2 linked regions of the Lepisosteus oculatus genome follow. The protein of the gene in region 1 purifies or fractionates together with the protein of each later gene. This does not show direct contact. Links are inferred from orthologs where the notes say so. Each region holds a gene or a part of one and is shown in the gene's direction. Other genes may lie near its edges. The genes, in order: trifunctional enzyme subunit alpha, mitochondrial; gpc1a.

Evidence for each region.
Region 2: the proteins of trifunctional enzyme subunit alpha, mitochondrial (region 1) and gpc1a purify together in Homo sapiens (co-immunoprecipitation; 3 studies listed by BioGRID and IntAct, with this or other methods). This does not show direct contact. The link is inferred for Lepisosteus oculatus from reciprocal best matches to the Homo sapiens genes HADHA and GPC1.

What each region holds. Positions count from the first base shown.
Region 1 is NC_090697.1:47,015,159-47,027,833, forward strand, and holds the start of trifunctional enzyme subunit alpha, mitochondrial, read left to right. Parts: upstream 1-7,280; 5' UTR 7,281-7,323; coding exon 7,324-7,390; intron 7,391-10,157; coding exon 10,158-10,199; intron 10,200-10,284; coding exon 10,285-10,355; intron 10,356-10,943; coding exon 10,944-11,077; intron 11,078-11,286; coding exon 11,287-11,425; intron 11,426-11,984; coding exon 11,985-12,104; intron 12,105-12,210; coding exon 12,211-12,313; intron 12,314-12,521; coding exon 12,522-12,644; intron 12,645-12,675. Other genes in the region: hadhb (trifunctional enzyme subunit beta, mitochondrial), read right to left, coding at 81-261, 492-679, 1,246-1,333, 2,805-2,904, 3,082-3,126, 3,656-3,752, 4,162-4,203, 4,589-4,655. UniProt on the Homo sapiens protein: Mitochondrial trifunctional enzyme catalyzes the last three of the four reactions of the mitochondrial beta-oxidation pathway.
Region 2 is NC_090708.1:10,790,762-10,803,562, forward strand, and holds the start of gpc1a (glypican-1), read left to right. Parts: upstream 1-6,613; 5' UTR 6,614-7,304; coding exon 7,305-7,458; intron 7,459-12,801. UniProt on the Homo sapiens protein: Cell surface proteoglycan that bears heparan sulfate. Binds, via the heparan sulfate side chains, alpha-4 (V) collagen and participates in Schwann cell myelination.

The sequences.
Region 1 (12,675 bases):
GTGCAGAAACCACAACAAATCTTTTCTTGTTTACGCAGGCCATCATGAACAGAAAGCACCATACTCAGCACCTTATCTACCTGGTACTTTGAAGCTGATGACGTCACTGAGAAGACCTGCGTCTTCAGCCTTCTTGGCCAGTGTGTGGGAGCGAAGCGCGAACTCGTCCTGCTCCCAGCGTGAAACTCCAAAGGCGGCAGCCAGCCTGTCAGCAGAGTGGCCCATTGTCTCGCTGGTGGAGAACTCCGCTACAGCTGGAAGCTGCAATAATATCATTTAAATTTCTTTATATTATATATATATAATTATTCCATCCGCCTTGTAGAAAAAGTTAAGAACACGAGTAACATGAGCTGATATGCTTGCAAAGCACAAGAAATAAGAGAAAATTGTTCTCACTGTTTAACTTTTCATTCCAGTAGAGTATCAGCTAGGTACACAATAATGAGTTAATTTTGCCCGCATTAAGCAAACAATTAACAGACAATTACCTCAGGGGCAAGGTAACTGGGGCGTATTTTTCCAAGCAATGCCAGCTTCTGGCCCATGGTCTTGGCCTTGTTCAGGGACAACATTGCCTTTCTCATTTTTCGACTGTGGCGAATAGGAACATCAGACATGAACTCTACTCCACCTGCTACTACGGTGTCACACTGGCCGGAAGCTATCAGACCCACAGCTGCACAGAAACAGGACCAGACTTAGTTTGCAAAAGAACACAAAATGCACACAGCGTTATGCAAAAATCCCAAACACCATACCTCCTCACACTTTCCCTTAATGTTTTTTACTGACCTTTTCTCTTTACAACCTTTAAATGGACAGATGGCTCCAAAGCTATAGGTAACACTTAAATCAATGGACTGGAAGGACTGTTCAAGACAGACAATTTCTATATGATTGTTTTCGGTATGGGATAATATATTAAGTTAAAATTTAATGATTATGACATTAGAATGTCCTTTTAACTTCAATAATACTAAAGCTTTGACCTTCAGAGACAAATTTCACTTAATTAATGTCAACAAACTGCATTTTGAAAGCTTTGTTGTTGCTTTTCTTCCTAAATAAAACATTCATGAAAAGCTTCAATTAAAATCAGAGAAAAGTGTTCATTTTCTTACATGCACAAGGAACCATGAAGAAGACGCTCAGATAAGAACGCTACTGCTATGTTTGAACCATTGGAAAAATTGAATTTTGTGTGTAGTTGAACGCATTTCTACATATAAGTAGCGGAGATACCTGTAGTCATTGCCTGATTAGATGAGATACAAGCCATGGTGACTGTATGTGCTGGAATTCTGTCTGAAAAACCAGCTCCCAAGGCAGCCTAAAACACAGAATTAAAATAAATCAGACATGAAACATTTAAGTGCACAAAGTTTCATATTGGTAAATTCAACAGAGGATTTCACAAAACTGCCAGCACACCTTTCATTACATTTAAATCATAAAGGGTAATTCCTCAAATATTTCTGAAACCTTCAAGCAATCCAACAAACTTTAGAAGTCTAAGAAAAGCACTTAAATGAAATACTGTGTTAATGAGAACAGTTTAATTTACCACAGCAATACATGGAAAGGCTGGAACTTATTCAAGACAGAGCCAAGTGCTGCCAACTAGAGCAAAAGTCAAGCTGTTGTTAAAAATACAGTTAAGCAAAGCAACAACTGCATGAGTATTTTCAATGCTTGGCTAATTGATATCATATTTCAGAAACTTTTTTTATAGCTCACATGAACGATCACTTATCAGTTTCATTTTAATAATCTTACAAACTAGGTGCCTTTTTGCTGGAACGACAACTGGTTATTAGAATTAATCAATGAGTGTTCCCATAGGAGTTCCCATGAAGCTCCATGATTAACATGGAATTCTCCTCTGCATGTAGTGCGGATTCATTTTCGTTCAAGTACACAGATAAAGGGAAGCACGAAAGAATGGATACACTGGATGGCATTTGAGGGGTAACATAGGGAATAAAGCACCATAACACTACAGTACATGGAAAAACTGTAGATTCAATGGGTTTATTATATTAAGACATCACTTCAAAACATTCTTTTGAAAAACACTCAGCAAAATGGGACAAGACTTCTGACATATGTAACCACTCTAAATTCTGATTTAACTATGCATTAAAATGAGTATGCAATGTTTCTAAGTGAACCCTGCAGACCCATGTAATGCTGTACATGTCCAAAATGTTTCTTCTTGCGGTGGTATGATTATAGAGGCTTGAAAATACAGGGTAAATGTACAAAATGAAAATACAGGAAAAATGTGTTTGTAGAAACAGAAATGGAAATCTTATTATATCAATATTACCCATAGTTACAAAGCAGCTATGCAAGAGATACACAGGAAATCCATGGAAAACTGCCAGAGTGCTTCTCATTGTCACGGACGTCCAAAGGGACTAACCATGGGGAGCAGGAGAGCAGAAAAAGACCAATATGCGTAGCGGCGAGACGGGAAAAAGGCCCGGGCTCATTAGTGCAAAGGGTTCAGGAATGCCGTATAGAAACCTATGCCCTCAGGGAGCGGACGTGGGGCGCCCTGGTGCTAGGCGGGTCTCAGGACATCCGAACGTCAATGCTGAGCGAGGACAGAGTGCAAGACCCGGAAATATATAGCCCAAGGGAAAGAGAGGGACAGGAAGGACAGCAGACCGGAAACTAGGGACAGGACAGAGAAGGAGCGCCCTCTGGCTGCAGAGGGTGTGACACTCATAGAAGCACTCCGCATGCATGAACAAAAAGCAAGGAGGGTTGAGATCAGTCTGAAAGTTGATCGTTACCTCTCTGGCAACATTGCTGGTCTTCACTTCCTGGATTACTGTTCCATAAACAATATAGTCTACAGCAGTTCTTGGGATGCCAGTCTTGGTGATGAGCCCCCTGTTGAAAGATGGTTTAAAACTGTACTAAAAAAAACACCTTTTTGATTGTACATATATTTAGTGTTACCGAATTTTCATATTGCCGTTTCCTGAAATCATACCCATTACCAAAGACATTTTCTTAAACGTAACCCCAAAGGAATATTATTTGAATTTTACAATTCATTTTACTTACTGCAACGCTGCTCTGGCCAAGTCATGAGGCATCAAATCACTATACCTAAAAAAATGTCAAAGAAATTTTGTCTTAGCTTGAAGGTAGATAATGACTGGCAAAACATGAGCTCTAATTCCCAACGTTAAGGGTAAAAAGATCACTTAACACCCAAACAGCACAAAATAAATACAAGCGTGTTAAAAAAAAAGCTGAAGGGTACAGCTGTAGCCTCAACTGTTAATACACTACTAGGCTATTTCACATGCATTAGCTTGTAGTCCTACTATCACAATCTATTTAAATATTTAAACGAGCAGCACTTTTATTGACTTCAGGAAAGAAGAATATGTCCTGAATGAACGGATGGGTGGATGGAGTTTACAATTCAGGTGTGTTAAGCTGGATTGTTCTTTTTCAGGGGAAAAGCCTTGTAGCATCTTTTGTCCCACCCCATCGGAAAAAAAAAAAGAAAAATGTTCTGCACGTGAAGAAACAATTATGTTTTCTTTGGGAATTAATCCATTAGTTTGAATTAGTTTGTGCATTAATAACTAAGAAAGATTATACTAAAGACATTCATATTTTTACTTACGTTGTTCCAGACTGCAAAAAAGGGGTGCGCACTCCTTCAACTAGAACGATATTCTTCACACCAGGTTTTGCCAGAGTCTTTTTAGTTTTGGGTTGTACTACAATAATAAAGACAAAACATTCAGAACATTTCCATTCTTACTAATACTAAACATAAAAATAAACTTAACCAAAATAATTGATGGTATTGTCAATCTAAATCATTAAACACATCTTTTGTAAAACACTTTTAAACTTTAGGCACAAAAGCACCGGTAAAAAAGTAATAAGGATCTAGCAATTAGAACAACACAGATTTAAAATATTACATTCTGTCCTTCAAAAAAGGATTTTGAAGAATCAAAGATTTCACACCATAAGAAAGGATAATTTACTTTTAGTCTTCTGGAAAGTACTGTAATTATCGATAAATTATTTTAATTCAAAACCCCCAAAGGTAAAATAAACATTTTGCTAAAAAAACACTTTTCTTTTTTGCACAAATGGCACAAAAGAATTAGACTATACCTTGAGCTTGTAAATGTGATGTCGTAGTCAGTGATCTAGCAGCTGATAAGGATGGAAAATACAAAATATTTCCAAGATTAATTAAAACATCCATTGTATATACACTAAAACCTATATTTAAGAGCTTTCCAATTTTTGTTCTGATATTAGCTATTTTTAATTAATGTAAGAAATTGAACAGATTCAACTCAATGCAAATGAACTGAACAAATTCTATGCAAATGGATTGACGTTATTTTCTGATCATGTAGTTACTGCAGAAATAAATTAGCACAACAGAGCAAATGCTCTCCTCCTGTTCTAAGGTTCTGATCTGATAATAGAAAGGGTAGCTGGAGTGAAACCAGAAGATACCAGACTGGAAATCCCAAATGACAGACTGATTTATTCTGAATTTTATTTTTATAACCTGTTCTTTTTTTCTTACCAAGTTTAACAACCCAGGCAGAATTTACTGGGCAGTTCCTGATGCCATGTGTCAAAATGGATGCCATTTTTGCTGTCCTAAAATGCAGAAGAAAAAGTCGTCAACATTCATTCTCCTTCTGTAAGGAAAATGTAATAGAACCCTGATCTTTTTCACAGTTAATCCTAAGATTGTTAAACAAAGTATTTCACTTACACTGAATGATCATAAAAATCCAGGTATGATATCACGACTTTCCGTTTATGAAGGATTCACAATTTTAGGAAATGCAAAATTTACCAAAAAAAAAGGAAAAACTGATTTAAAGCTTGTTTGTAAATGCATATATATATATAGAGGTCTTAAAAAGAAACAAAACACTAAACTAGATAAATAAATATCTAATAATGTTTAGTGGGGTACAAGTCAAACAGCCCCCACTGTTTTCTGTAGCATTTAATGAACATAACTACAACTTGTCTTCCCTTTTCATAAATGACAACTTCACAACAGTATTAAAGCTTTAAATGCAAAACAATCCACCTGCATTATTTCAATAGTTTTATTTAAATTCAGCATGATGTTTTTTTCCGTGCCTTTTACATAGCAACCACATGAACCTAAGTGAAAGGTTGTTCTCAAGATAATAAGCTTGATTTGTGTGAGAAGAGTCATTTCTTCACATAAAAAGCAGCAGGGTTACAAAAACTTTATAAAACTGTACCAATCCTAATCTATTAAGAAAGAAAATAAAAAAAATCAGTTCAATAATGGCCTGCGACTAGCCCATTTCGTGGTAAGTACTAAAAGTACAAGAATCTCAACCAGCCATTTATTTAAAGAATCTAAGATATCACAGCTTCAGCATGGCTGGGTAGCTTGTTCCAGACTCCCACAACCATTTTGGTAAAGAAGTGTCTCCTGTTCCTGTTTTGAAACGCACTTCTTCTTGTGTCCAATGGTTCATGTTTCACTGTTCATTCTGAAGGATTCTGCTGGGTTGACACTGCCAATGCATGTGAGGATTTTGAATCAGGTTCTGGATAATATCCCCCTATAGCCTTCTCTGATCATAACTAAAAAGTTCACGTTTCTTCAGCACTATAGTGTAGGACAATCCCTTCAGCCCCACAATGTTACTACTCCTTTCTGGATGGATTCTAGAGTAGCAATATCTATTTTATAAAAACATGGCGAGTTAAATTGTATACCATATTCTAAATGATGCTGTCCAGCACAGCAGACATATGACAGGTTTTGGTGTCAAAATTGTTTGACTTCATGGTTGACCTTAATGACATCTTTGAAGTGTTTTTTTTTTTTGCCTTCTGCTTGAGTGTATGAAGTTGTCTATCCAACTTCACACACACAGGGTATTCCAAATGAAGTCTGCATCACACAAATGTTAACATAACCCCCTGAGTTAAGTTCTACTCTTTTAAATATTTATCCTGCCATTTTGATAAAACGATAAGACAGTAAACTGTTCTGCAACGTCACTGCCTCAGTCTACACAAAGAAGCTGCATTCTGTTCTAGGAGACTCAAAAGCATTTTAGTTATCTCTCAAGCACTTCTATATATTTGACATTTAACTCCACCTTTTCAGAAATTCAAGGTAGTAAAACGCATACGGAATTCATATTGTACATTATATTCACAGATCGGGTGTTCCGGAGTGAGAGTTTCCTATCTGGGTGGAAGCACCGCCCACAGCTACACTTGACCTCTCACCTACTTCTCCAACCTCCATACCACACGAGCCTCTGCAATGAAACAATACATTGCAGTTCATTTTGGTTGGAAAAGTAAGGTCTGTGATAATCCAATCCACACAATTCAAGAACTGTGTTCCCTTTAATGGTTACACAAATCCCGAGATTAACAAAAAAGTGGGGCACTTCTTACTGGTAAAGAGAACTTTCAAACGATGTTGGAAATGCAAGGCGCTTGCAAAAATAATACAAAATCTGGCTCCGACAACGCTCGCTTAATTTGGCACGATTTTCTCGATCTAGAATAGAAAATGAATTATTCACATAACGTACCAAATCATAACCAACCTTTAAAAAAATATTAATCAGTTATCGAAAACAGTACCGATTGCAACTTATTGATCATTGTATTTCATTCACATAAAGATAACATCTATACGAACGATGCAATGTTAAACTATTAAGTAAGAGGAGTGTCACTGAAATAGAAGCGCCTGAATTTCAAATTACTAATGTGAAAACTGCAACGCAATGATTTGCACCTGATGTTTCCCCATGACTTAAAAAAAAACAATGCATGCTGCTTTACATACTTCTCTGCTTGTTTACACATGTTTTAGCGCTATGTCTGAAAGCATTACCCGATTTCTTTTCTTTCTGGCGAAATACGCTCACCTTGTCCGTAACGGAATACTCACACGCAACACCCAAACCCTGACTGACCCGGACACAACAAGCCTTACAGTTGTCTCTCTCTAAGGACCTTCGACAGGTTGTGCTTTCCCAATCCTCGCCTGACATCCTTGTGCGGCTCGTTACATTAATGAAATAATAGTAGGAAATTGAACAACAGTACAAACTGGAAACCTTAATAATTTAGAATATTTAGACTTTTATATATATTTAAATTTTACTTTTAGAAGCTTTCTCTTATGTTTTGTCTCAGGCTTATCTGTGGTGTCCTCAACAGATATTAATACTGAAGGTCCTAGTCTGCTTGCCAAAGGTTGTTCTCTCCCTTGTCTGAACTTGACTGGCAAAGATGGCTGGCGTAAGAGCGCTTGGAATACTTTCCAGGTTTGCAACGAGCAGATATTCACTCTTTTCAGGTAACTGAATATGTTAGCTTATTAAGATGCTGGGTGCCACCTGCACCTTCCTCTGTTGCCATTATTGTTTAAGAAAAGAGAAGTTTCTTGGTGCTGGATGAGTGGGTGTACAGTATGCAACTGAAGCAGGTCTGCATTGACCTTTCACCTACTTAAATAGTGACAGTTACTTTGATAGAAATGCACACAGAAGTCATAACATAAGGGTTTTGTTGTGTCTATTGTAGCTGATGCATATAAAATTGAATATTTTTTCTAAGGCAATTTGTTCCTTTATGCGTTTTGCAGTTTTAATTCACCCAGACGTTGCTCTCCTTTTTATTTTTTTCGTGATTGATTTGCTTTCTTTGAGTCTTAAAGGCAATTTCATTGAATTTAATCATGATTATTAGCGTTCTTAATAGTTAATGTTTTGGATTTTTGTAATTCTTTGAAGTAAGTGATTATAGTGCAGTACTACAAACAGCAACGCTAGGAAAAATTAAGACTTTTTCTACACACTGAGCACAAAGACTGAACACACACCAATGTACTCAGTCTTACAGTTTTTGTTTATTCTCCGTAGGGTGTGAGAGTTTTCTTTCCTTATGTGTATTGCATTCAGTTAGTTGAATATGGAGATTTGGAAAAAATACCAGAATGCTGTTAATCACTCTGCAGTAATTAAAGTTACCTTTTAATATGGAGGAGCATTCGTTCTACTTGACTACTCAAACACAGAATTGCTAAAGTATTAAATGGGGTGCCGTGCAGTTTAATATTCAGTGTTAATTATAGTGATCAACTTCTGTGCCTCTGACTTAAAGTTCATAAAAAGCCTATAAAGTATATTCATTTAATTTTTGGAAGGCAAGGGGAAAATCGATTTTATTAAGGCACACTGAGCCTATGTGGAGTGAAAACGCTGTTGCTGTACCTTCTTATACCTTAACATTCATGTCACTGTGGCAAGAGAAAATCACTGCAGTCTTCAAAACCCTTTCAGTTTAAGGCACTTTTTTATTCTGTAAAGATGGGAGAAATCAGTTCTATACGAGGGAATATAGATATTTCATGAAAGAGGTCAGAATATTAACAAAAGTTGATATTGTATGGAAAACATAAAACTGCTAAAAAAGCTATAGGAGCTAAACCATGTAGTGCTCTTAGGTCAGTGCCAGTTAAACTTTATTAAAGTAGTAAAATATGATTATTACTCTAGTTTAATACATGTGTTTTATGGTGTTAACATTTAAAGGTTATTCAGGTAGAGCTGTGTTCCATATTTCACTTTTTGGATTTCCATTTTAAATGATAATTTGATTAACATACTGCAGATTAAAATATTCTGTAAAATATTTCACTTGTGAATGTACTGTAACCTTGATTTAAGCAGTGGCCATTACTAAGCAGTTGCCATTGCCAGTGGTATTGATCTTGTGCTGTGTCACATGTTAAAAAGAAGGACAAAGGTCACTTTCTGCAAGCTTTTTATCTTTCCACCTATAAAAGGAATTTGTGTCAAAGTTCATTGCCTTCTTGCATCAAGTAGACTTGACGACCCCAAGTTGACCCCAAATATTAAAGGGACCACTTACTTCAATGTGATTTTTCACTTGACTTTCCATGTTAAGAGTTTTTTTTTTACTGTTTAGCATTTGTATTATTGAAATGCAAGCTAATTGAATATATAAACCTATACTAATGCAATATTTTAAAGCATTTAAAATGCTTCATTAAAAATATTTTTTTTTTATTCCTGAATGACAACTGTTTTGAAGGTCTTCTCATTTATACTTATAAATGTGACGCATTTGTTTCCCTCAGCCTTCTATATTTAACACTACACATCTTGCCATGGGTATTTTATGAATGTAGAAAGAGATTTGTCCCCAACTAGAAGCTGTAGTGTGTCAGCGGTCACTGGGTAAAATGAATATTAAGGTGTTGAAACAGCTACAATTATCCATCAAGGTTACAAACTAGTCTGATCAAGTACCACATACTGGACTTAAAATTTTGTTAAATTCCAGGAAGTTCTAGAAACATCCAGCAGATAATGTAACAATGTTTTGCATTTAGGGAAAGTTAACAAGGACTGTAAGCAAAAAGCATTTGAGCAGGTGTGGTTGAAGAGCACGAGACCAGACTGAACGAGCTACAGCCAAACAATTCAATGTTAGCACTTGATTCTGCCTTGATGAACCAGAACTTGTGAAATACAGGAGCGCTAAAAGGACTTCTTTTAAACACAGGGAAATGAGCTGTACGGCCAAATTTAAGGAGCTAGTTAAGAACCCATTCCGAAATCCACCAAGCAAAGTTTGTTTATTAGGAGTTTTGATTGGGACCAAAATGTGTCTCTCTTTTCCTCCGTTTAAAGGCAGGCTTTGCCATAGATAATTATTTGGTTTGTGAAATTCACTCGGTTTATCTTGATTGAGATGTATGTATCCTTCAACATGAATGATGCATTCATAGTCTTTTATTTAATTAGCTTGCATTTTGTGCTTCAGATAGTGTGATAAGTTTGTCACTAAAGCTATTGCCTATTTCATTGCTACCACCTTGAGGATAGTACATAAAAAAAGGCCACATGACCTTGTTCATGTGAGTAATTCACCTGACGAATAAGGTGGGTTATTATTCATCTTTAATAAATGTGCTGTTTCTCAGATTGTACTGCCTTGTTTGAAAGTGAATCTTAACGTAAAACCTTAACTACCTACTTTTGCTATTAATACCCCTTATATTATTATTCCTCATAAGTTTTATTTTCTTTCTGTAGGTTATGCGTGCCGCAGCTTCACAGTTTCTTCTGCCATGCTAGGTAACTATGGTCATAGTCTGTTATGTTGTACAGTATGTTTTGTTAATATTTTGTAAAATGGTTACAAATTTTGTTTTCCCTACAGTTCGAACCCATGTCAACTATGAAGTTAAGGGAGATGTTGCAGTTATACGAGTCAACGACCCAAACTCCAAGGTACTTCAAATATATCATTAGACTTTTTTTCCGATATTTCCAGCTTTTTTCTGTTCTGTGTTTTAAACGCCTAGTTTTCAATTGAATAACGTCAAGCTTTACTTTTGATATTAATTTGACACTAAAAACACAATAGCAGCTATAAGTGGACCTTTGGTCTCATTCACTGTCAGTTTTTTTTATCCTAACCAATAAGGACACCCGGTGTAACTGCTAAAGACTGGACATACGCCAGCAGAATCACTCTTTTATACCCACCTACAAAACAAAGTAGGAATGTATTAGGTTTATGAAAGTAAAGAACAATTATGAATATCGTGCTTAAAGCAATGCTCCAAATATAAATGAATTTTTCTAAAAAGTTTGTCCTATTTTGAGACATACTTAAATATGAAGATATAGAAAAACTAAATACAAAAATAGACAGGTAAAAAACATGTAGAAAATATTAGTATAATCTTAATGATTATATAATATGCCATAAAAAAGTGACTTAACTAGTTTTTATTTGTTGCCTATGTAAGGCAGGTTACATAGACGACCATTTTAATACTAAAGGAAACTTTGATTTGTCTTTGTCTTTTGCAGGTTAATGCTTTGTCGGTGCAGATGCAGTCAGAATTAACACAAGTAATGAATGAAGTCTGGACAAATGATGCCGTCAAAAGTGCTGTGCTCATCTCCTCCAAGCCTGGCTGCTTCATAGCCGGAGCAGATATCAAGTCAGTCCTAATTAATAGATTAAATTGAAGCAATTTGTCTGTGTATTTGTTGTGTCCTTTATTACCGATAAAAATTATTTTGCAACGCCATAGAAGTGACCGGCGGGTTTTTTTTTCATTTGCCCATTTTGGTGTAACTCTTGTTCAGTATTTTATGTCCAGATCCTGTCCGCTTCTCTTTTAGTTCGTTTTTATTCCTTTTCTTGCAGCATGATAGAGGCCTGTAAATCTGAAGCGGAAGTGACCAAACTTTCTCAGGAAGGACAGAAAATGTTTGAGAAGATTGAAAAGTCCCCCAAACCCATTGTTGCTGCAATTAATGGATCCTGTTTGGGAGGAGGCCTGGAGGTTAGTTTTCATTCAGTTACACACTCTTCTGTTTTATGAATTCATACCCAAACTACAGAAGTGCTTGATTTATGAAGTTTCACTGCAGCAAAGCTCATAGTTTAAAACTTGTATTTTACTGCAGACTGTGATTTTTACAAGGCACTTCCCTTGTGATGTCAGTTATTTTGCTCAGTAATTTTTGTAATTACAAAGGGATCGATTGTAGTTGTACACCTGATTTTTAACATCATGCCAGCAAAATACATTGCAGGTGCTTCAGTTGTAACAAAAGCAGACATGAAGAAGAAAGCAGTTCCACTACTTTAAAGAATTAAAGTGATGGAAAAAATCCAAGCCAAGCAGTTGAAAGACATTTGCCTTACCATGAGATGAGCAGCACTGTGCTGATCTTCATCGGTTCGCCATTTAAAAAACATGTTTACTGCTACAACAAGATAAATAAGATACCGATGAGAAACCTGCATAAGTGTTCTTATTTTGACAATTTTTATTTTGACTCACTTCATTGGTGAGTGCGTTGATGTTTTGTATTTTGTTTTTGTTTTTTCTTTTCAAGTTTGCCATTGCTTGCCAGTACAGAGTGGCAACAAAAAACAAGAAGACAGTTCTTGGTACGCCTGAGGTTATGCTGGGCTTATTGCCAGGAGCTGGAGGAACCCAGAGACTGCCAAAAATGGTATTGATGGAAATGCATCAAGATTCATTCTTCTCATGCATATTATGTGCTGTGTGTGTTCCACCTGTAGATTGACTAAATTATTCTTGGGCCTTTTGTTGGACAGGTGGGTCTTCCCTCTGCCTTTGACATGATGTTGACGGGAAGAAACATCCGTGCTGATAAAGCTAAAAAGATGGGGCTTGTTGACCAGCTTGTCGACCCACTTGGTAAAAAATTCTGTCAACGGAAAACTTGTTCTCCCATTATCAGTGCTTGTCTTTTTTTTTTCAAACAAAGTTTTTCAAACGTCAGCAGGACAGTTTTCAATTTAACTTGAAGTATTAATACTTATTTGGCATCTCCTGATTTATCCTATATGTTCTTTGTAATTATGCAAGGGACTGGGTACTGATCTGTTTCTTTTTCGCTTTTAAGGCCCTGGGTTGAAAAGTCCCGAGGAGAGAACAATTGAGTACCTTGAAGAAGTTGCTGTGGAATGTGCCAAAGGAATAGTCAGTAAGAAAATCTCCCTCAAGAAAGACAAAGGATTGATGCAGAGTAAGTCTGAGGAAGAGTCTTTAAATGTACA
Region 2 (12,801 bases), on another chromosome or scaffold:
AGACACTTCTGTTGATGGTGCAGCAATAGCATCGGCAGGGATAATCACAAATACTCTATTCTATTCTTGCTTCCAGTACTGGCAGTGCACGGGCTGTACTGTGGAATGTCTGCTTTTCAGCTTAGTGCTTTCTTATGTCTTATGTACTATGTTGTGTATTATTAAAAGCTCTCCTGAAAACACTTAAATATGCCTTAAATGTGCTGATCTTTGTGTTTTGTGTTCAGATTACATGCATGAGGGAGGCAGTCTGAATATAACATAGGTCAGCTATAAGACACTTATATACTTGTATATGCCTGTCCTTAAGCATGTTTAAGAATAATGTGTGTGTGGCATTTGTTTAGTTCCAGGCTGTCTGAAAGGGGTGTCTTCTGAAGACCTAAAACTAAGCATATTCCCTGTGGCAGACAATCACAAGTGTGCCTAGAAGTGAAAGTCTCAGTTGGTTAGCACCTGTCTACTTCTGTCAAACTGGACCATCCACACACACACACACACACACACACACACACACACACACACACACACACACACACACACACACACACTCTACCACCACAGAGGAGGACCAAGGTTGTGGGGCTGTTTTGTATAGTATGGGAATCACAAAGTGAAACATTCAATATGGTATATTATTTCTTCACGGTGCCATTAAAATGTTTGGCATTCAAAACAAAAGAGGAATGTACTATATAGCCAAACTAAGAACTAAGAAAAGCAAGAATAAGGAATGCTGAATTTCACTTATTCAGCAAATCAGTCTCTAATTTACTTAATTATAGTTCCTCAGCTAAAAAAGTTATTTTCTCATTTGTTGTAGAATGCAGCTTACTGATTTAATTTGTTTAGTTTTCCTCTCCAGAACATGTTTTTCTATAAATACTTTAAGCCTGTAGTATGCTAGTGTGGCATCAGTAAAATACCTACAGTATATCCTGCACAAAACTATTAGAGGTGGAGATTCTCATTTTCAGATTAGGAACTCGGAAGAATCTCTTTTTTTATATACTTTTGAGGACCCTGCAGATCTAGAGCCCTTGTCTTTGGTGTCGGTTTCATAAAAGATTCTGGAATAGCATCCCACAGCGTGACAAAAGGTCTATTTGATACAAAGGCATGGGAATTGAGTAAATGCCAAGTCTGGAAGAATTTCCTAAACTGTATGAATATTTCCAATATCTGTTACGTGCTTCCATCCTCATGATGATTCTGTTTTGTAAACAGTAATTCAATCCTTCTTGCACCTTCATGTTCAGATGAAGTATTCCTCATTCCTCACTCAGACATTTTGTTTTACCACGCCTATTTCTTTCTACTTAGTTACAGACTAACATCGGTCTTTTCAAACAGCGGCATCAAGCTGGCAGAAACTTGGTTGGTACAGTATGGCTCTGCCAGCAGAAGCAGCAGATGTTTTTACCTGGAAGTCTTGCATGCCAGCTTCAAACTTTTCTATGCGTGTACATTTTGAGCATATGTTAAAAATATCAGAAAATCACTAAAATGAAACATAGATATACTGTATCTCAGGGATACTTAATAGCCATATTGCTTATAATGTTAATGGGTCTATGAAGGAGAAGTGATAAATGAATAATACAATGTAATGCAATATTTTGGATAAAGTAATTTTATTGTAGTCGCACTGAATAAGTAATGTGCAATTCTACTGCTGTAAGTAAACCACTGCCTGGATATTCTTACAAGAGATTCTTTGATGGCAAAGTATTGTACCTTGCAGGTGGAGGAAAAGCAGGAAGATAAATCTTTGCTGTACCCCAAACTCATCAAGCACTCCATTCTGTGTCTTCTCTGTCTTAATTGCTCTGTGCCCTCAGCTGCCAAGATCTGTCTGTACCAGCGTTACTGATGTGCCAGCCATTTGCCTCCCTTTTCTGTCTGTGAAAACTGACCTTCTTTCTTCGCAGTGTGATGCAACGAAACTCTACTGGGGATTTTGTGTGTACGAGAGAGAGTAACGGCTTATTTTCACTTGATAATTAATACGGATACACATTAAACCTCTTGCACTTTCTCTCATCATATCAGCGTGCAATGCTTTAATTCAGTTTAAAGTGCTTACGAAAAGTCTTCTTGATTTTTTTTACCCTTCTATTTTGTTTGTTCATTGCATTTTCCTTGCTTTAGAACAAAATTCAACACAAGATGTATACAAATAGGCTCTAAAAATGAGGAAATAAAAAAAAAGAAAATGAAATCTTTCTCAATTAAAGTTTAGGATAGGCAAGCTCTGTCTGCCACAGTAGATCAGGAGACCCTGAACAGTCACTGTAGACGCAGGACGGTGTTCTAATTCAGACTGTTGTTGCACATGTGTGGTTAGGAAGCTCTTTGTAATTATTGTGCATATTTGAGCTCTTTGCTCAGTGTCGGAAGCTGTTCCTAATGCCAGGAACGCTACCCTTATGGGACACATATGGCTGTGTAGCCCCCTTATCCCCTTCTGCCCCGAAAGCTGCACTTCAAACACAACCCACTCCCTCCCCATTGCTTATTAAAAGTCATCCCTCTTTCATGGTTACATTCTATAAAACCCTGCCTGAAAAAATGTGAAAATAGCATGGCTCTTTAAGTGGCTCTTTAGGTTTAACAACAATGGCAGTTTTTCTATGTAGTTACAGTATAGGCAAGTTTCCACACCTATTTCTTTATTACAATTTGTTTTACTCCCTATGACATTAACATCATTATGAAAATCTACACCAGCACTTCCAAAGCCCGTTCACATCAACATGTTTCTTTATCCAGTAGAATTATTTTATGAATGCCAAATGTTCCTTGATTTAATTAAGCTTTGTTAATGAAAGCTGTCATGATTTGCGTATGAGCTTTTTTTTCCACATTCTGCTTTGCTTCATCTTGGTTCTTTTGTTGTGGTTTGCTATGGTATTGCACTTTTCTGTCTGGAAAAATATGGGGTTTAGGGGGTTTTCAAAAAAATGAGAAAGAGATGCGAATAAATTATACTAAAGTGCTCATATCCTGTTTCAAAACTGTGCTGGCAACTATTTTCAATAATTTCATTATGCATGAGCCATGCAATACTTTGTGTGGATTGGTTGCCTACTTTAAAAAGTAAGGAACAAACATATTGATAACTACCACATTTTGTGCATGTGTTTCAGTAGCATTGAATTGAGAAGTCAATTTGAAAATGACGTATAAGTGCTGTAAACCTTGTGGTAGCCCAAATTCTATAACTCATGCTCATCATGTGCTTCAGAACAGCAAACAACTTAAGCTTAGCAAAACATACTGTAGTGTTCTATTTTCATGGAGAGCAAGCTGGGGTATGTGAAAAGATAATTCCTAAAGCAAGAAATTGTAAAGGGTTAATAAAGTGATGTTATTATTATTTCCTCAGGAATGAATGTGCTTACTTTGAACATACAGTACTCCACTTATTGTCAGCATTGTTAAACATTCCATCCATGGCATAACATTACAGGAGATTATGAATTGGTTATAGTACTGAATGATGAAGAGCACATTGAACAGGTAAATATTAACATGTGGTAAAGTGAATTAGTTGATAAGTTGCAAAACTACTAACAACTATGCTTTTCAGCTTCTTGGGTCTATTTAACTGACATTTGTGCTTAGTTTACATCAAGTACCTAAATTCTGGTATAATAAGAATATGTATTATATTTTCTGGGAATTAGAAAGCTAGACTCTTGGTGGTGGTCGCTAGTAAACATCATGAGAGAAGATAGGAAATGCAAAATGTTGTTGTGCAGAAATCCCATCACACACAGAATGTAGCTCATTAGTGGCATATTCCTCTGTAAGATCAAATCAAAGTCGAGCTCTGCCACATGTGAATGTACAGTAGAATGTTGTTTGTTTGAACAGAATAGTTTCAGGAAATTAAATGTAATAGCCAATACAAAATAAAAAAAAAACCAAGAGGCAATGTTTTTTGTGAGATGTGTTTTGTGTTTTGTATTAAGTGTTAAGTGTCTTGTATTAAGTTCTGTTGTCATATTGGCTTAATCATAGTCTCAGATACTTACTTAAATCTTTAAAGGCTAAAGTCCCAACACACATTGCTTTGTCAGTATTAAATTACTACTGCTACTTCATATTGTTTTTTTACTACAAAGTGTTGTCAAATCACCAGAAAGAATCTTATAACTAAAAAAAACACCAAGGCTTCAGAGAGACCTAGTTGAAAAGAAGTAACAATTTTACAAAAGTTCATAAGGAAATAATGAGGGAATTGCTGCATACTGTACATAATATACATTTCCCAGGACATTCTTCACTTCAAAAAAAGTTCATTCTGTTCTAGAGCTCAAAGTTATAAATGAATAGTCCATAAAGATTTTCAAATTCTTAAATTAAGACAGCAAACGTCAAATTACATTTTACGCTGCGTTCTTTGTATAGATTGAGATATTTTAACTTGAAACTGTACCACAGCAAATTCATTATATTATTATTTTATTACCAAAGTTGAATATTTAAAATTTGGGATTCTTGCTTCACATTACTTTACAAACACTAATTTACTACTAGACTTTCTGAACTACAGAAATAATTTCTTCACAACCCCTACTTAGAATAATCAGTGTTATGTGCTTCTTTTAACTCTCCTTGTATGATTTTATTAAACTAGTTGATGCTTGTTTGAAGTCTCTAGACAACTGCCCATGCTCTGCAAATATGTAGAAACTTGAAAATCTTCCTGTTGAGAAAATCTTTCACCAGCATGTCACAGCTTTGTGTATTGTGTATTGTGTATTATTTCAAAGAAGGGAAAAAGACACTTGTTAGCTAAATACATATACACTATATTTTCTATCTCCTAACTTACTATTACGTCATGCTTTTCTAGTACTATAAAACCTCTAACTTTATCTTTCCCAAGTGAGTACACAGACCTGAGAAAATGTTTTTTTTTGTATTTCTGTTTCAGGCTTCAATTTGGAATGACACGCTTAATCATGACAAAAAGCAAAATGTATTTGTTCTGAAGATCATTTTACTTGTTTTACCTAAAATCTGGAATGTTTGGTTGAGCCAGAAAAAAGAAAAAAATATTTAATTAAAAAAAATATGTCATGATGTCTTCTAAGTCTTCTAATGTAGACACTTGCAAACAGCACATACTGTATAGCAAATAAACTTCAGGGAGGCATTCACTGAGAAGAACAAAACAGATAATCTCACTGACGAATAGGATGTTAACTTTCTTCAACCGTTACCTGACTTGCTAAAACTAAACAATAATTTTAACTTTAGCTTTTGTATTGTGAGGTAGCAACAGAAAACATAATCCATTGTAGGTTTGGGTAAGAAATGTTTTTGTAATGAACATGGATTGATTAGCTCAACCCTATTACTAGTATGCCCCAACAGTTTCCACTCTTATTAATGAGAATTATGTGGGCTGTCAGGAATCTAATGAATTCTATTTAAATTGTGGAAACTCCTTGTTTGTTTGGCTCTGTTTCTAATGAACTTAAATCATGACAGCTTGGCAAAATGATGCTTATCAATACCTTTGTAATGTGGAACATCTTATGAATAAAATGTGTGGCACTGAACTGGATGGCTCCCTGTGGGAAACCGATTTAGGTGTTGTAGTGGATTCATCACTGTCATCTCCTAGGCATCGTGGAAAAGCAATTAAAAAGGCAAATAGGATTCTTGGGTATACTGTATATGAAAGAATGCTGAACACAACTCCAGAGAGGTTATGATGAATTGCACATGCTCCACTTAGACTAAGACGAATACTGCGTTCAATTCTGGCTCTGCATCATAAAAAGGATGTAGAAGTCTTGGAGATTTTTTAATGACGGGCATCAAAATTGATTTTGAGACTGCAAGAGATGAGCTCTATTGAAATATTGGGAAGAAGTTATTTTTTTATCCAGAGTCGGCTTGATCAGTGGCAATTGGTCTAATGTCTGTAAAAATGTAAAAGAAACAGTCTGATTTCCTCTTTTGTGTGGCTTATGTTTGATCTGCTAAACAAAGTAGCATTAACAGCCTAGAAGTGAATCTAGAACTGGGCGTTTAAAATGGTTTCAAAGGTTTAATATACATTTTGAAGACTAAAGCGTGCTGTACAGTACAGTAGGTAAACAGCTGCTTCTAATAATAGTTACGCTCATACAGTATATTTTATGTATGTAAAAGGAATACCTTATTTATTCCACTAAATGACAAGACCCGACATCCTAAGAAATGAAACCAATTCTTCATCGCGGATTAACCTTTTAAAATAAACGAATATTTAGCATTATAAGCACGGTGAGCGATGAGTGCGCACCTCTCAAACATTCATGTTTCTCACACCGTAGCTGCCTGCTTTGCTCAATCCTGTATGTTCCGGCCAGAGTTAAATATCGTCTTGTTTGAAAGCAATGATTTGTGTTCGCCCAGCACAGTTAAAAATGAAAAACCGAGGGGTTCCACTGAATCAATCAGCGGTTGTGAAGACAAGCTGAACTGAAAGAGCCAAGGCAAGGGATACATAAGAAGGAGAGACTGAAAGAGGACGAAAAAAATCTTACCTCTCGCCATTGGTCGAGGCTGTAGTTTGATGCAACATCCTGTGGGTAAGATCTGCTGCAGACGCTTAGAGAGAGAAACGGACTCTATGCCCTGCCTATGGTGCTTTCCCCAGTTTCTTTCAGTCATCGATGGGGCTGCACTGGGAAAGCATCACCGCTATAAAGTCAGCTGGAGGATTCTAACTACAGCAAAACATCTCATTCTCGCATTCACATGGTTTCACCGCAAAACGCTGAGTCCTGCGCTTTTTTTTTGTAATGTCAACATAATTGCCTGTTTAGTTTTCTATTTTTTTTTTACATTGGTTAAGGCTCGGATAATGCTTTGATTATTTTTTTTTTGCAAATGAAGTGTTTTCCTTTTTTTTGTTCCAGTGATGATTTTTGTTCCCCCACACAAAAATGAAAAATACTAAAAAGGAACTGTAACAGAAATTAAGGTTCAGATCTTCCCTTTTCTAAGAACAAAAAAACAGAAATAAAACTACCTTAGTCTCAGCAGGAAAAGCAGAATCAAATATTGCGGAATATTATTGGATTTAAACATTTATTTCAAGCTTTAAAAAAAATCATAAGACCGGTCTAAGCATCCGCCGGCGTCTCGCAAGCACAGCTGAAGCGTGTTAGAAAGATAGCAGACTAGTGGAGAAGTCAGGTGGATACCTGAGCTAGTGTAGGACTTTGGTGATTTGAATTCACTTGGTTTTTGGATTAGACATTTTCCCTGTGCTGGATTCTTCGTCTGCCTAGAAAATGGATTTGCGACTGAGTTTCTTCTTTTGCTTTCTCGCCACTCCGATTGTCGGGGAAAACACAAGCGGTAAAGCCCGGAGTTGTTCGGATGTCCGACAGTTTTACAGCGGCAAGGGCTTTCACTTGGTCGGAGTCCCCCAGACTGAAATATCGGGTAAGATCTACGCTCACGCTACTATAGAGTACATTTACTGAGATTCCTCTTATAACACGTCGCCTGAGCATCAATCATATAGTGTAAGACTAGCTGTAACTTGTGCGTGCATGGCGATCGTGTTTTGTACACTCATTTAATGATTTCCCACGACAGTTCAAAGAAGAATACAGTACATACTGTATATACAGTATCTAACCTTATGAAGTAACTATTCCTTTCCCGCTATTAAAAGGAAAGCATGTACTGAAGAGTTACGAATTCAATGCAATAGCCTTTAGTTGCTAAACAGAATACTGTATCTATCTCTACTTTCGTCCCATTCGTACTGGATATTTGTTGACTACATTTGGTGTTTCGGAAAGGATGTATAAATAATCGAGACGCGTGGCGCCACCCATATATATTGAGCAGTTTTTTTGAATATATATATATGCTAAAGAAATCAGGCGGGGATATGAATCTAAATCGCTTATAAACAAACTGGAGTCATAACTACTGTAGCTCCAAAGTGCCATTGATCCGAAAGATGTGCTGTTTTTTTTTCTTTGAAGTTTATACCACACTTAAAACTCTTAAGATCGAAAGCTTTTGAAGTAAAAGATTTGCTTTATTCTATGTAATTACCCTTTCGACTGAAAACATTCCTTAAAACAGGAGGACTAGTACAAATCATGAATATACTGCGGAATACAGATTGTATCCTTTAAAGAAAGCAGTTATGATTTATGCACAAATTTAAAGTATTTTATTTACATTCTCACGCTTAGTTGGAAGATGAAAACGCCAGGCTTGGTCTTGCTCCCCTGGAAGACCTTGTGTTGAATATTTGCAACAATATGAAGCATTCAAGGTGGACTGTATCTTACTGAGAAAGAATCTAAGCTCGGGTCTCGCTGGCTCAATAACTCGAATTGCGTGCTGAAAAACGTTGCACGTTTACATTATCTGAAGTCTTAAGTTAGTCATTTAGCAGTTGCGTTTTTTTTCGCCTAAAGCTTCACACCAGACCTCTTCATAAACGCCTGTTTGCAATGACCTTTTGCTAGTCTATTATTAATACCAGTGTAATGTCAAATTTAGCCACCCACTCAGATGTTACGACCTGCAGTCTCGGAATATAAACATTCAAGAAATGTATCTTGGAACAGAGTACGGTAGTTCTGAAAGACGTGCTTTTTAACTGGAACATGTTTTAGTCTTATAGTGCGGAAAACAATGTAACTTTATTTTGAGGATAATATAATTACAAATAACTATTAATATTTGGTTAAAACACAGAATGCTTGTATTAAATCATATACTTTCGTTCACCAAAAATACTGCTTAAGCTATTTATGCAATAGAGTACTGTAGCAATAGTTGTTTGGTTTGAATCTTCCACCAGAATGTCCTGTCTTTGTTAAATCAAGACTATTATAGGAGTTGTAGGAAGGAAGATATAATAATATAATGGATGTTGTCCTCCTGTCAAAATGTTCTTTAGATATTAAATGCAACAGAATTTGATGCCTGATAATCCTCTGTCAAAATGTCCTATTTAGCAAGTGGAACGTTGTGGCAACACATGACAGCTGTTGATCTTTCATTTTTTTCTACCTTAGCTATTGAACGGATTAGGGTAGCATATTTGTGTCTTTTTCTGTATGTGCATGGTATTAATGCTGCAACGTCTTGCACGCGTAATCAACTGGCACAGTTTTTCGACTTTTTGTAAAGCCGATAGTAAAGTTAAGGCAAGTAATTCAAATGTTTAGAATGTTTAGGCCTCTGTAACGCAAAATGGACTTCGATGCTATTTCTGTATATTTGTATTGTTTATACAGGCACGACGAACTGTGAGATATTGTACACTTACTGTATGAGTGTGTACACATTTCTATATTTTGGAAGTCACACAGAAAAATGATAAAATCACCAGTGTATGATAGTGTTCATCCATTATTAATAAATCATCCTCCTATATATTTACTATGATACACTGTTTTCCAAGTCTTTATGTGGTTGCTTGTATCTGGTACCCTACTGTAGAATTGATTGCAGTCTTCTTCGTGTTTCTCTGTATTTTACTGTAAGTGACCATAAACGTCCAAAAAAGCATTAATGCTTTGATATAAACTATATATGACGACTTTACCTTCTAGGATCAAGGGTATCCCTGTGTTAAAAAAAAGATTTCTTCGATTGGTCCGAATCTTCCGTCGAGATGGCCTTTTGGCATTTTGGGAAGTCTCATACAGTACTGTATGCTATGCCTTGACTCCAGCGAGTCATTGTCCTGAACAATATCTGCGTGCCAGTAAGACCTAAGAATGTTTATGTCTGTAAATCTGTGTACAGTATTTGACCAATTTGTTTACATGTACTTAATTCCGTTAATGTTCAATTCCTAACTGCGGGGGCGTTCTAATCTTACACTGTATTTAACTTCACTGAGTTGTCGAGAAAAAAAAAACATTACGCAGGTGAAACTACAAAACACTGGGTTTCACAGTAAAAGATAAAGACTTCTGGATTTTTAAAATTTTCATATAAAATATGCCTGCCACTGTAGTACTTTAACTGAAACAAAGTGCAGTGCTCCGCAACCCTCTCGAGGAAAAGCGGACTGAAACTGGATGGATGCAGTATTATGTTCTAAAAATAAAACACCTGCTTCTCTTCCACACTTTGGACGCAATTTTGATGCCCTCTGGGAATCTGTAAGGGGAAAATCGAGCATGCGCAGTGTACAAGGTTGGAAAAATTGACGAGGAATCAGAAATTTATGTTACTGTACACGTTCAGCTCATTGCTAAGTCATCCGAATCAGTTTAATAGAATATGTGGTGATAAATGAGAATTACAAAGGTTGAAAGATGTCTTAAACACTCTTAAGCTTACTGCACTGATACCAACTTAGTATATTATATTGTATATTCAATATTCAATATTCCATCATACTGTACACTGTCCACAGTGCCCACAAAAAAATTACAAAGCGCAAGAATTGCTGCTTTGACATGTTTTGGTTCACTTTATAACCATCATGAACTCATAGGTTAATTTAGGCACTTAGGGTTTAGTCATTAGGAGGTGCACTACAAACCTTCTTACTGTACTAATTATCCAATGATACTATGAAGTGAACTAGTAAAATTGTACTTGGCATCATTGAGAGGGTGATGTATGGATGAAGTACTGTGCTGTTAAGCAAATCTTTTTTTTTTGTCTGCTGTCACGATTCAGATTGTATAAAAAGCTTATGTATAAGGTGCAAGGAAAGAAAAATGCAGTTTTTAATAAGAGGGATATTTTTTCATTTTAATTTCTTCTTATTAGGAGTATTTTAGTGGTTCATTAATAAAAAAAGTTTCTCTTTAGAGGCTAATATGGATTTTCTCTAAACAATTTTCTGATCTGTACTTAAATATAACTGTTTTACTAATAGCAGTTCCATTGTATTTTATATTTAACATATACATTTTTAAAAATTCATGGAGAGCTGACAAATGTGTTAATTGCTTAAACCCAGCCCTCATGTACTGTAACCTGGCAATGGTTTCTTTACCCTTGCCTAATTTAACCTCCAAAAAGAGCATTTTTATCTTTTGGTTATTTTTGTCATTAGAGTCTTGAGATTTCATCACATATTTAGTGTAAATTAGAAACAAAGCGTGCACTTTGACAAAAATCTTATTGTTTTTAACAGTTTATGTTTAAAACAACATACCAAAATTCACAAAGGGAATGGAACATTTTCACATAGAACATGCAGATTTCTTGATTTGATAGAGGTTTGATGGAGAAAGAGATAATAAAGATCAACCCTTTTATCAATACAGCCAATACATGTTTCAGCCATTTTTCACTATAATAATAATAATAATTAATAATAATTGCTTATACTTATATAGCGCTTTTCTGGACACTCCACTCAAAACGCTTTACAGGTAATAGGGATCCCCTCCACCACCACCAATGTGCAGCATCCATGCAAGCTTTTCACAGAAGAAGCAGCTTTCACTGCCTTATCAGTGATATCTTAAAAAAGCTGTCATAGAACAGCCTTTCTAAAGTGTAAGTACATTAATCAAAGTACTGTTTTAAATACAATATTTAGGTCCACCACAGCACTTGCAAGAACAAAGATCTCCAGTTTGTCATTTTGATATTTGATCAAGAAGTTTGTTTGTGTATTTAATTTGCCACATAATGCAAAACACTGCACATAATTTGCAGTCGCTCTGAGGAAAGACTTGTAATCGGTGTGATGCCCTAATGTGATGTAAAACCATTATTTACTGTATGGGTGGCGTAGTCTCATCAGAGTCTTTTAACACTGAAAAGGTTTCTTTCAGTGAAGATATTCAGGATGCCTCTCTACACCCTGTTGTGACCAATAGCCAGTTGCCTGTGCCCTTAATGATTGGGAGGATTGGAGGCGCTTTGTGCAAGTGATGTATTCATGTTGGCCCTGTATGATCATGAACCGCTACCCTAGATTCACTGATCACTGATAATATTTGATCAAAATCACTGATTATGTTTACAGAGGGTCATTCTCCATGGGTAACATCTGGCCATTACCTGTTTTGAACTCTGGCAAAGCCATTGGAGTGCCTTTGTAAAGAATCACCATACATGATTGCAGTCATCATCAGGTCTTAAACAGAGCCAGTATATCTGCTCTTAAATACAGTATATTCTTAACCTGTTTGGAGTAGACATTGATTCTTAGTCTGTTTTAATGGATGATAATGCTAATTCTTATTGAGCCAGACTGTTTGGAGATGCCTATTGTCGAAGAAAACTCATTGCTCAGGTTAGATGTGTTTCAGCAGAGTCCTTTATTCATTCACATGGAGATGATATAATTATACAGATATGAGAGAAGCCTCTGATGACAGTCACAGGCAGTGGTTTTTATACAGCAAGTTCTGTAGTTCTAGCTCATTCTAAATTTCCATATTAGGAGTTGTGTTTCTCTACAAATTCTTTGTAATTGGCCACTTTATTCTTATGAAATGAAATTCACCTTTTGCTTGGTGAAAAGGATGTATGCAGATAGAAGGTGTGAAATTTAGCTAAACATCCTGTGGTTATAAAATTAGCATCAAAAGATTAAATAATGTGCCTGCAATTTATTCTTTCATACTGTTGCTAGGTAAAAAAGGCATGTTAGCAAAGACAAATAGTTACTATCTTGTACATATAAGAAAGGTAAATGCCACAATTCATCCTCAGTATGCACTGTACAGAATGCATACATAGTATACTGTACTGTATAGGAGCTTGAATTTCACAGACTGGTAGCACTGAACAGATTTTCACTTCACTGTACTGTGCATGTTTTCTGTGTAG